Saccharomyces cerevisiae S288C: one gene and its partners. Changing the gene in region 1 together with any one later gene gives a genetic interaction. Each region holds a gene or a part of one and is shown on either strand. Other genes may lie near its edges.

Region 1 (3,533 bases):
GAGGATTTACAACATGACGACAAACCGTGGTACAAGGCCATGCTAGAATAATGCGTTTGAAGTGAGACGCTCCATCATCTCTCTTAATTTTTCATGACTGACGTTTTTTCTTCATTTTAATTATCATAGTATTTGTTTGAAAAAAAAAAAAAAAAATTTCCCTTATCAATGATATCCTTACGATTATATAAATTCCTTACCTAAACCTATTATTTGTGTACATATATCAGAGTATTATTACATATATAACCTTTTTCTCTAAAACAGGAAAAAAAAAAGAAAACGATAACATGCTCTGCCATCCTTTGTTCACCGAGCAAAATTAAAAACGCAAAATGAATTGTCCCTATGAAATTATTAAAGGACCACATCACCAGACTTATCTCTGGGGGGTCCTCTAGAAAATAAGTCAGGTACTTGCCTGGACTTTCTTCCAGTTGAATTCCTGAGCTAACATACAATTAATGGAGTGAGAATGTTCGAACGATCCAGGAGTTGCTTTTTTCAGTCATTTGTTTATCAGTGTAACAAGCATTTCCTTTATTTCTTTTATATCAACCTGCAACCTATTAATATTCAATTCAACGTCTCGGAGCTTTTCTCGTACCGTTTTACCATCATCCATTTCCATGCTAACTAATTCTGAGATTACGATTACATATTGTCTCAGTTCTGGTTCATCAATGGCTGATAAAACTTTCATTACATTTTGGAAAAAATCTTCGTCATTTAGGTCTAAAGTCAGGATTTGGTTCCTTATAGACTCTCTACGATCTTTTTTCAAGTTTTTTTCTGAAGAAATATGTCCATTTTCATTAGTGACAGCGGTAGAGTCCTCTTCCGCTCGAACCAAACTATCACTGCCGGTGTTTTCCTCTCGAAAGGGTTTGTCTTTACCAATGGAAAGACGCCCGTCTTCTGCGCTTTCATATAATTTGACAGTGGCTATATTGAACTGTTCTTGCAAATCGCCAGTTTTGGCATCCCCTACCCAACCTTTTTCATGCAATTCCTTTCCTTGAGTGACCCAAGCGACGAGGTTATCTCTAATATATCTTGAAGTTATAGGTACTCTTGATTTCTCCTTATAAACTCTGTTAAAAAACTCAGCTATCATTTGATGACATAATATAGGTCTCCTTTTACTTGCTCTCTTTGTTGTGTGGAGCAAGAGGGCCCAATATATGACTGTTAACTTTTCACAAAGACTTTTTTCTTTATTATTGGACCATCGAAACTTCCTTAGTTGCCTTGTTTCCGCTTCGTCATTACTGTTTCCCCCCAAGTCTGTGGGGGCTCCAACGTGCAATATGTCGTTGTCAATATCACTAGAAGTATGAGTTTCCACATTCAACTTGGTATTAGTAGTGTTAATTCTTTTATTAAAGCAAATAGTATGTGTAGATTGCAGGAGGTCGAAGCTCTTCGGATTGGCAAAATCAATATTCTGCTCTATAATTTTCACAGGTTTTGTTGGCAGTATTTGTGCAATTCCTGTCATTGAGTTTCTAAATACATTCTTTTGGTCATATTTTGAAGTGCTCTTTTTGCTTTTATGTACTTTTTTTGAAGAGGACGCATTCACATTTGTTACTTCCAATTTCTCTTCCTCCATTTTTGGCGTTTCAGAGGGCTTTCCGTAATAATCTTCAAAGGAATTTAAAGTAAAATTCTTAAAGTTGGACATCCAAAAGGATCTTCACAATATAAGCGTTTTTCTGTCCACCAGCTTCAACAAGCTTCAGCCTACTACCAATTTCTAATACTGTTTTATCTTATTACTTGCTTACTTATCCACTCCCATTGTTTTGTCCTAGATGACAGCATCACCCGGACTGAATATTAAAGCGTCAGTGTCACTTATTTTAAGTCATAATCAAGTCCTTTTAATGTGGCTATAGATTAACCCTGTACACTAAAGCTGTATATTATTTCCTTAAAGGAGCATTTATTCCCAAACTGTAACGCAGAATGTCATTCCAGAATCATGGAAAAAAGATTCAAATAAATAAATGTATATACACCAAAAATTACAACTTCGAATCCTATAGTACTTTTAATCTTTTTGAAAAAAATATTACTAAAAACTATGTATCATGTCCAAAGGCCATAGGGCCTAGCATTTTCTTTGTTAAAAAAGATAAACAGTAGAGAAATAAATAAAAAACGCCCTAACCCAACATATAGGACCTCTTTTTCGTTGGCCTAGTCAACTTTAATGGATGAGTAGATTTTTCTAACAAAGAGCATACTGCTGATAAAGCCAATTGACCCCGTTACCAAACAGCAGAGTAATGAAATGACTGAGGAGTATCCCACGTATAAGACAATAGTCGTGAATCCACCCAACTTAAATTTGGTGAATAAAATAGAATGAATAAACACATACAAAGCACAACCGGCGCCTCCAATTATGAATCCTCTCCATTGCCACTTCCAGTTCTCCAGGCATAAGGAATGATAAGTGATCAAAATAGTGACGAGTGAACTTGTCAAAGTTAATAGGAGGAAAGAGAAAAAGAGGAAACCAAACATGTAAAAAATCTTATTAAACCATAAACTTGTGTATATGAAATACAACTCAACGGCGATGGAGCCAAATGGAAAGATACCAGCAATCAAAGTAGCTGGTATAGTCTTTAAATACCAAGGCTGGAAGGGTATTTGTCTTGCGATTTGGTTTGTCTTGGTTGGATGTTCATCCCAGTGACATCTTTTCCTGGCAATCAATGAACCAGCAAATGATAATGGGATTGAGAACAAAAACCATAGAAAAACCATAAAAAACAGAGTACTTGCTGGTATGACACCAGAAGAATGAACAAACATTAAGAAAAAGTTCAACGCAATAATTATTAGCAGAATAGCACCAGGAACTAGAAGTGGAGTCAATATCAAGTTTGCCTTCCAGTATGGCCCATTGAAAAATTTGTAGATGCCCATAGATGTATAAGAGCCGACAAACCCGAATAATGCATATAAGATAAACATAACAGTGGCTAAGGAACCTCTAGAACTAGGTGATAGGAAACCCAATGCAGCGAAGAAGATACTGCAAGTTACCATCAAAAATAATTGAACTCCTGAACCAACCAAAATTGAAAGGGTTAGCGATTGACTTGGCGAACGAAAAACATCACCATGATTCAATTTCCAACCCGAATCTTCTTGAAAATCATCGTCCAAATTTAACTCGTTGTAACGTGCGAAATCACTTTTCAGTGCGCGCAATAGCGAATGGATAACAACAGATGACAATAAGACAACAACTAAGGAGAAATTTATCAAAGAAAACCATTGAATAGAAGGATCATATACGTGTAAATATTTGTCCCACCTGGTGGCCCAAGAAGTCGCTGATTCATTGAATTTAACGGAATAAGTAAAATAAACTTCATTATCATTTCCTTCGTCTAGCATCAATGGGCTGCCAGTCGTTTCACATGTACCTGGACTGGAACGTTTTATGGAAACCGGTTCGACGATAACACCAACTACACGATAGTTACCTTCACCACGATCGTGATATTCAA
Region 2 (2,898 bases), on another chromosome or scaffold:
ACTCGTTAAACAACACATCAATACCATACAGAAGAGCTAGCGTCCAGCTATCGAATTCTAACGGCCACATAAGCGCTCATCTGGTGAACAAGTTAAGTACGGAGTTAAAAAGATTGGAAGGTGAATTATCAGCATCAAAGGAATTATACGATAATTTACTGAAAGAAAAGACAAAAGCAAATGATGAGATTTTAAGACTTCTGGAAGAAAACGATAAATTCAATGAGGTAAATAAACAGAAAGATGATCTCTTAAAAAGAGTTGAGCAGATGCAAAGTAAATTGGAAACCTCCTTACAACTATTAGGTGAAAAGACTGAACAAGTGGAGGAATTAGAAAATGATGTGTCCGATTTAAAAGAGATGATGCATCAACAAGTTCAACAAATGGTAGAAATGCAAGGAAAAATGAGATAACTAGAAATACACTCTTATCTTTAGATTTAGGTTAAATATGAAATAATTACCAATGATAACTATATGTATCTATATACATGCAACCCCATCGCAACATACTGTTTGTCATCAGTCATGACCTTGAGCCTTAGCGAGCATGGTATGTTCTTCGATATCTTCAGCGTCCCATGGATAGCACAACCACTTATCAGGGACAGTTTGCGCAGCAATGTAACGTCCAGAATTCATCATGGAGTCAGGTAGTCCAGCTCTCTTTGGTTTGTCCTTATTATGTAGAACAAAGATAGAAATAACGGTTTCCTCACTCATTCTATTCAAAACCTTTTGTTGTTCAGCAATCTCTTTTTCCAGCTCAGAAACAGCATAGTGGAGGGTAGTTCTAGTATCGTCAACTTCATCCACAATTAGGACCTTTTTACCAATTAAGGAATCGAAATGTTGGTTCAAAGCACCGAAGTCCAGCCATTGTGTTCTGATGACCTCTTTGCCGATAGTTTCGACGCTATTATCCAACCCTAAATCTTCATACAAAGATAGGCCGATGGCCTGAATCGGAATATTCTTTTGTCCTTTAGTTTTCAAAAAGGACCTAATAATTCTTGCGGGGATCATACCACCACCAGTGATGGCGATAATAATATCAGGTCTTTCGTTTCTAGCTAAGATATGTTTAGCCACTCCCTGACAAAGCTTGTGAATATTATTATAGGAGATGTACATTCTCTCATTTTCGGCCATCTTGGTACAAGTATATTTTGAAGTGATCAATGTTTATGAAATCTAGTACAAGGATGGGCTATGCAAAAGAAAGACTGACAAAACTCAGATATTTTTCTTTCCGATTTAACTACGATTCTTTCCCCAGCTTAGAGATAAAAAAAGCTTGTGATTTTTTTAGGTTCATCGCATTGACTCCAGATAAAAAAAAAAGATCTTGATATCAAATCAAAGTCAACTGGCCGAGGCAAAGGCAACAAACTTTGAGCATAATATCCTCTCTCTTCTATCTAAATTATGTAATCCAGTGTTTGTTTCAATATACAATCGCCATTTAATTCAATTAGGCATTCATAATTCCCATGAATAGTTCTTGATCAGCCGGGGTCAGATGTCTCAAGATTCCCTGATATCTATTGCTGTCAACATGTTGTAAGTTCGCAATGGACTCCTTGAAAACCTTGTATACGTCAACTGTGTCCAGGATCGACCCCGTTAATGGGTCCTCTTCTAGGTCATCGAAAGTTTCCTTTGCGTCATAACCATCTACGAAGTCCAAGGAATCGGCTCTATTTTTTATCAGTTCCAGATATTTCTCAGTAAGGTCTCCCTCGTCATCATTTTCATCATCGTCTCCAACGTCAAGAAAATTTTCATCCCACTTAGTATCCTCTTCAAAACCGGATGATGAGAATTCCTTGCGTTGGTTAGCTAATTGCCTTAACGCCGTTGGTAGCCTCGAAGCTAACTGCGTAACAATACTCCCTAATTGCGGAACCAAATTTTCTAAGTTCAACACTGAATAATCGTTGCTTTCTAACTTCAGTATAATTTTTAATAACGCAAGAACTGATAATTTGATATCATAGCACCTTTTATAATTCGGAATATAGTCTGTAATCCACGTTTGAAAGAAGATTTCAAGACAACCTTGCTGTTTCAGGTACTGAAGCGTGATCAAAGGCTCTGTTATCATATTTGAGATTACGACATTAAAAGCAGTCACACTAAATACAACATTAGTTTTCAATTCATTCTTTTGCGTTAGAATAGAGCCGACAACATCCGCCAGTAGGCGCTCTCTGTATTGTTGAGGTAAACTGTCATCTAATGCAAGAACCAACTCTTGGGATAAATCAAAAACCACTCTAAGATCGTCTAACGAATTATCTTCTGCAGTAACAGCCTTTTGATATATTTCGAATATGATTTTTGTGTAAAACTCGTTCTTCTTTAATTCGTTCCTTCCATAAATGAGGATATTATTTAAGGCTAGCATGAAATCACTTAAATAATAAGATACCATACTATCTGGTTTTCTATTACATTCTCCAATCAGCTCCAAAATTTTCCAGCTGATGGGTGTGATATCTCTTAGTAGGAATGTAGAGTTCTCTACAAATTCGCAACATTCGCGATAGAAATCTTCGATGTCGTTTTTCAAAATAAACTCTGCAGCTGGATAAAATGACTGTTCCAAGTTTTTTAAAATTTCAGGTGAATTCTCAAAAGACAACAGAATAGATATCGTAGTCGACAAAATACCTAGCGCCGCCATTTGCTTGTCAGATTCATCGGGTATGCTATCAACGTTCGTGAAGGAATCTGGATCCAAATTGGATGTTTCATGCAGATCAATAGCTAATTTCAAAAACTGTTGGACCAAAGTGTTCATTAATTCAACACCAAAAGGTTGTAATTGCTCAGCAAACTGCTCCACAAAATCTTGCATAACGCCTGAAATGACATCAGATTCAAAATCATT
Region 3 (2,619 bases), on another chromosome or scaffold:
TATACTATCCCACTTTATATATATTACCTAAACTTTATTATTTAAAGCTCATCATGGTGGTCATGGCCACCGTAACATTGATTATTAAAGCAGCATCCACTCTCAAATCCCTCTTTTTGGACAGCGCGTTTGGATCCACACCACTCTTCACAGCAAACATGACCATTCTTCTCTGTGCACGTTTTAATGCATGAATAGCCCTTTCCACCGCAATTGTGTGCAGATGAATAGCCGAGCGATTTACCGCAATCAGTACAACCTCCAGTCGAGATACGATACCTTGCGTTAAGACACCCTTTTCCTCTTTTTAGCATTTCTTGGTTGACTTGTTGGCGAAGAAAAGAAAAGTCGGCGTCAAGAATATTAATTTTGGTAACGTTTGTATCAAAGCCAATGGTAGTACCATTGAATTCAGTTATGATTAGATTGATAGTACCATTGGTTTGCTGTAAGTTTACTGAGTCGACAACAGAGCTAGCATACGCATGAATCTCGGTCTGATTACTGTCGAGGGTTCCAGCATGAACGCAAGATTATACCGTCGCCAACAAGCTCATTAATATCGTGACCATGTTTTTTGAATTCATCTTCATAATACAAAAGTAATCTCTTATTTTCTAGTGTCCTTTTGGTGATATGTAAAGTATAACAATATATCTTCTCTTCAAACTGTGAAGGATTTAGAAACTTTATAAAGACAAAGTCGGAGAAATTCTCTTCACAATATACTGTATCCAGCCACTGCCCTGATAAATCGAGTTCACAGTATTGCATATGTGCAGTGATTCCACAAATGGTATTGGTTTGGTCCCAAACTCGACAAAACAAAGAAACTAGCAGCGTATATATAGTACTTATTCTATGGGGCTATTCATTTAATATTTAATCTGTCTGACCTGGCATTCTGCAAACTGTCGGTAGGAAATTACGCGATCAATAAAATTCCTGTTGATGGGAGGGAGAAGACAAGCGAACTCTACGCTTTAAGCAGAGCTGGTGGAAAAACACCATAATAATCCGAGGCAGCAGTTACGCTAAATGGAAAGAAATCGTTAAAAATAAGGGGCAGGCAGGTGTGCTGCTGAAAAGGTAAATGAAAACCAGTGAGTACACTTCTGCATGGATTTTTTTGGCAACAAATCAACGAAAAAAATACTCACAGCTTCCGAATAAGACGGCTTTCCATCAGTATTATTAGAGAATTATGTGGCTGTAACCTTGCTGTTTTTACACTCGTTCCAAGTAAAAAATGCTCATCTTACCATTTTAGATAGAAAAAAAAAATCCTACCTGCCATTTCTAGTCAGCAGAATCTTTACAACATATTGCGAATTTTCTTCAATATTGGTTTATTTTAAGTGTTTGATAGAGTTTGGAGTTCAATAATTTACGCTTGATGCTTAAGTTATTTTTAGTAATGGCACGATAATTAATGCTGTTGTTACTCCCTTATATGATACTACGCGGTAAATCATCATTATACGGAAACCTTTAGATATAGTGCTGTCAACTGGAATTATTATATGGGAAATAACAATTTGTGCATTTTGCATTGAACAGCTCAGGAGAAGAATTAAGTGTAAATTTGGGAGTTTGCTTTCAAATCACCGCCCTGAAAGTGAAGCAACAATCTTGAAGCCTGCTGTATTGGAAGCATTGGAATATACGTCACTCCCTGAACATCTTGAATCTTTTTTTTATTGCTAGCTACAGCTTCAGTTAATTTTGTCACCTTAGACTACCAATTGTTTTATTTTGTATCTTTGGTATGATAATCTTATTCCGTCTCGTATTATACTTGTCCTGTTATGATCTCTCGAAGCAAGTTCTAAGAACTTGTGAGTTTTATAATACTCCTAGGTTTAGCCACTTTCCAAAGATAGAGCAATCTTTTTGGAATTGAAATGTCAGAGGGATGATTCTGACGATAGACATTTTTCTGATGAACTGTTGCGTACGCACGCATAAAAACAGTATAACTTTAGGTGGTAGCGGTAGTGTCGACTTTTATTGGAATGAGAATTAACTATCATATATCGACTAGTATCCATAGTACGTGTATATTATCGTATACAACGTAAGAAAGACATAAATATTGAGAAACAGTCAACGATTTTAGTAGAGGTTGAAACGCGAGGCTTGATAATTTCATGGGATAATGAATGACGGTATATAAAATGAAAGAAGATGTAATAATATTCATTATCATTCAAACTTTATCTCAGCCCATCCTCATCTTTTTCAGTACTGTATGTGAACTCGTCCACAAACACCGTATAGCTACGTCCTCTTTCATTTTCAGGTATGTATCAGCTTCTTGCATCACGCCACCACTAGCACAACGAAAGTATACAATACAATGTCATTAACCCTAGATGCTGTTGTTCCTCGATGTTGTGTATACATACATTAACTCGAAAGTGCGATGTTAATGATGTCCCAGTGCTATATAATAAATCTACAAACTAAAAAATCTTGATCACATCAACCAAAAATGTATCTTACTGCTAAATGTGTCATAAAAGGGTTCCAGTATCCTTACTACACCATTATATAGAAGACTCTTTATAATTTCTTCCGTCAGAATAATTACTTATCAATAGATTGTTTAACGTAGGA
Region 4 (3,462 bases), on another chromosome or scaffold:
CATCTTGTCAGTGAAATGAGATAAAAAGCTTCTTTCTTTTCTTTTTCTTATTATTGCAATTAACGGGGGTCCGGGTGAGCGTAAGGGCGAGATAACCATGGCGGTATAGGTGTATATGATCAAGTTTTGAAGTCAAGATGCAGGATTGTTCGTTCCGTATTCACAATCCACCGTTAGTGTTACATCGTAGTTTTTGATGCTACTGTGGGCTGTGTAAAGCAGACGCGGGAGTTTAAAATTAAGTTTTGCGGTTATTTCTCGTTGATCAACGCAAGAGGTCAGAAAGCCCTTTATGCAAGGGATTTTTTCTTGCAATTGCATCTTATCATTTTTGTAGCACTGATTATACATAGCTTGACTCATTTGAAAAATTTTATAAACTGCATTTAGTATGGAACAAAACATAAAAATAAAAAAAGATGCGCACCATAATTTGTTTGCGCATATTAAGAATTATATTAGTTGTAAGATATTTATACTCTACGGAATATTTGAAACTTAGATCAGATTGCCTCGATCAAGTCAATATGTAATCAACACTAAGCCTTTTCTTATTGGTGTTGACCGAAATATCAGACTCTGATAAAGTTTCCGACCTCTTTTTGTTATTATTATCATTGCGATCATCAGTATTCTTGAAATTTTCTCCCCCTTTGCCGCCATTCTTCGAGGAAGACATATTATTGTTTTTATTTCCATTTGGTGGTTGGCTAAATGCCTGCTGATACTGTGGTAAAATAATTGGTTTTGCTTCAGCAACTGTCGTTGACGGAGAAAACGGCGGGGAGAATGAATCAAGATGGTTATTGATATTACTAGTATTGACATTGATATTGCTTGGTCTAATATTGTATTTGTTCATAGTTGTCCGTGCTTGAAAGTCGGCAGAATCTTTATATTTGAAGGAAGTACTTGGCATGGACCTCGGAGGAAAGGACGATATGATTACCTCAGAGGCCGGATGGCTCGTTGAGGAGGGGCTCACATTCAAAGGATACTGCACATCTACTGATGGTAAATAATTGATGGTGTTATTATTACTGGGAAGAGGATACTGGTAGTAACTATCAGTGATTGGATGGGAAGGAAAATAATAGGGAGCCTGTTGATGCTGTTGTTGTTGGTGTTGTTGCTGTCGTTGGGTATTATAAATGGACCTTGGAGAGATGGGTGGGATGCTTCTCGTGCTAGTAATGAACTCCGGCGAAGAATGTATTATTTGGGGCGCTTTTTCGTTTTCTGCCATCATCGGCATGTTCCCGCTATTAATATTAGTTTTCCTGTAAGGATCACTATATGATGTAGATGATGAAGCAGAAGACGAAGAAGATGCAGAAGAAGAGGAGGATAAAGATGAAGAGGAAGGCTTACGCTGGTGCGAGCTGGTAGAATGGTGGTTTTTATGTGCATGGACCGATTCCCGATGCTGTTTCAAATTATCAACTCTACTGAAGAATTTCAAACATGCAGGACACTGGAACGGCTTTTCACCAGTGTGCTTTCTTATATGACGTGCAAGATGTTCCGCTCTAGTGAAGGACATCGTACAACCGTCATATCCGGTGCATTTGAACGTTTTCCTTCGAGCACTTTTGGACCTCTTCGGAGTTGATGCCGCTACACTATTGGTGGCAAAGTTACCATTGCTGCTCGTAAGAACGCCTGCAGTATTACGATTCGTGGTATTTTCCATTTCGTGTTTTTTTCTTATCTTATCACAGTATTATTTATGTGTTAGTAAAAAAAGCTAAGCCAGTAAGTCGCTCCAGATTTTTTCTTTACATACATGGTTAATGAAGCTGTTGCAAAATACTGCAGCCAAGAACTCCTGTCTCTTTCAAAACAAGACGAAACTTTATCTGCCGGGATGAATAAGAATTAATCAAAATTATAGGCAATAAGAGTGGATTGAGATTGTTATATACGGAAGACTGTTGAACGGTTAAGGGGGAAGCCGTGAAGGAGCAAACAAATCTTGAAAAAGAAAACATTTTCTAAAAAAAAATAGAGGGGATAAATAAGGCCCTTAGGGGGACTCAACGGCGGAGAATTCGAAAGCCAAAGGATGCTTCCCACCGCTAAGCCAGGGCGAACGGCAGCGGCGATCGAGGATGCTGGTTCTTTAAGGGCACTCGTCCACCTTCGCGATTTTTCTCTTCCCTGAGTATTTGGCAGAGGCGATCAAGGGGTGGCTCACACAACCAGTCGCAGGAGCGTCGCGCATCGGGTATTAGACCCTATTCTGTACACCACAGCCTTCCAGCCCCTTGCCCCACGCGATTGGTGTAAACAATAGATGGCAGTAATCGTTGAGACAACATAACTACCGGCCGTCCCTGACCCTTTCCCCTCCTCACGGTAGAGACAACAACCACGGGAGGAATAAAAACCGGTGCTGGGCCAGCCGATATCGTAAAAGCCTAATTACCCCAGAGCTGCTACGCGGACTTCTATTCTTCCACGCGTCAATATGCCCCCGCGCGAATTTGTGTGGGCCGACCAAATAGAAGAATTGAACGGTGTGTACGCTCAGGGCCATATGATTATAGACGTACACAATGATTAGGCCAGATCGAAATCAGAGGCTAAAGTAAGGAAACGATAGAAAAATAACAAAGTAATTACTATTATGTCTGATAAATAGAAGCGACACGTTACATATTAAAAGAGGGACTACGTAGTGCTCTCTCTATTTCTTAGTAGAAACGGCGACCGCGACAGCTTGGAGGTCATCGTGAGAAATAGATACCTTCACATCGGTAACACCAGCTTCTTCGGCAGCCTTTTTGGCGTTACCGTGCAGTTCAACGGCTGGAGCGTTTTTGTTAACGCGTACGATTTCGATGTCTTTCAATGCAGCACCACCGCCTAAGGACTTGACGCCTAAGGACTTGAAAACAGCCTCTTTGGCGGACCATGTCCCAGCGAAAGAGCTTTGCACACTAGGCTGCGCGCTGCAGTACTCTATTTCTTGCGGGGTGAAATTGCGCTCGATAAAAGTATCATTTTCAACGTTGATGCTAGTGATTAATTCAACATCTACACCGACGCCACCGTTAGAGACTTTCTCCTTGGTCATGTTTTCAATCATCTTGGCAGTTTCAATGGTGTTAGCATTGATGTAACTGTCCTTGCTTTGGATGTTTTTAGAGTTGAAAGTCAAGGAGCCTGATTTCTTATCCTTAGATACACGGGCTAATGGGTCCAAGTAAACATCCTCTTCCAATTCATCAGTGTATGGAGCATGCTCTTTACTTACGAACAACTTGTTGTAGATCATACCATTATGGAAGAATTTGTAGGCACTTTTCTCTCTGGCACTAACCTTGGCGACATACTCGTTGTATCTGTCTTCAGTGATAGCACCGTATAAGTAGTCTGGATGAACCACAATAGCTTGACCACCCTTTTGACCAAAACCGAAAGAAGTGATGGACACGGCTCTGACACCGTCGGTCTTTA

The links.
Region 2: mutations in SRL2 (region 1) and XPT1 together harm fitness less than expected from each alone (positive genetic interaction), as found in Saccharomyces cerevisiae (one large-scale study listed by BioGRID).
Region 3: mutations in SRL2 (region 1) and YOL159C-A together harm fitness more than expected from each alone (negative genetic interaction), as found in Saccharomyces cerevisiae (one large-scale study listed by BioGRID).
Region 4: mutations in SRL2 (region 1) and USV1 together harm fitness less than expected from each alone (positive genetic interaction), as found in Saccharomyces cerevisiae (one large-scale study listed by BioGRID).

The regions. Positions count from the first base shown.
Region 1 is NC_001144.5:291,886-295,418, forward strand, and holds SRL2 (Srl2p), read right to left. Parts: upstream 1,688-3,533; coding exon 509-1,687; downstream 1-508. Other genes in the region: galactose permease GAL2, read left to right, coding at 1-51; EMP70 (Emp70p), read right to left, coding at 2,206-3,533.
Region 2 is NC_001142.9:671,247-674,144, reverse strand, and holds XPT1 (xanthine phosphoribosyltransferase), read right to left. Parts: upstream 1,155-2,898; coding exon 525-1,154; downstream 1-524. Other genes in the region: SGM1 (Sgm1p), read left to right, coding at 1-416; NMD5 (Nmd5p), read right to left, coding at 1,477-2,898. UniProt on the Saccharomyces cerevisiae protein: May act as a xanthine phosphoribosyltransferase involved in the synthesis of purine nucleotides. Such activity is however unclear in vivo.
Region 3 is NC_001147.6:14,732-17,350, forward strand, and holds YOL159C-A (uncharacterized protein), read right to left. Parts: upstream 775-2,619; coding exon 502-774; downstream 1-501. Other genes in the region: CSS3 (Css3p), read right to left, coding at 2,550-2,619.
Region 4 is NC_001148.4:113,543-117,004, reverse strand, and holds USV1 (Usv1p), read right to left. Parts: upstream 1,694-3,462; coding exon 518-1,693; downstream 1-517. Other genes in the region: trifunctional fatty acid synthase subunit FAS2, read right to left, coding at 2,690-3,462. UniProt on the Saccharomyces cerevisiae protein: Transcription factor that participates in the transcriptional activation of glucose-repressed genes during exponential growth in non-fermentable carbon conditions. Also involved in salt-stress response.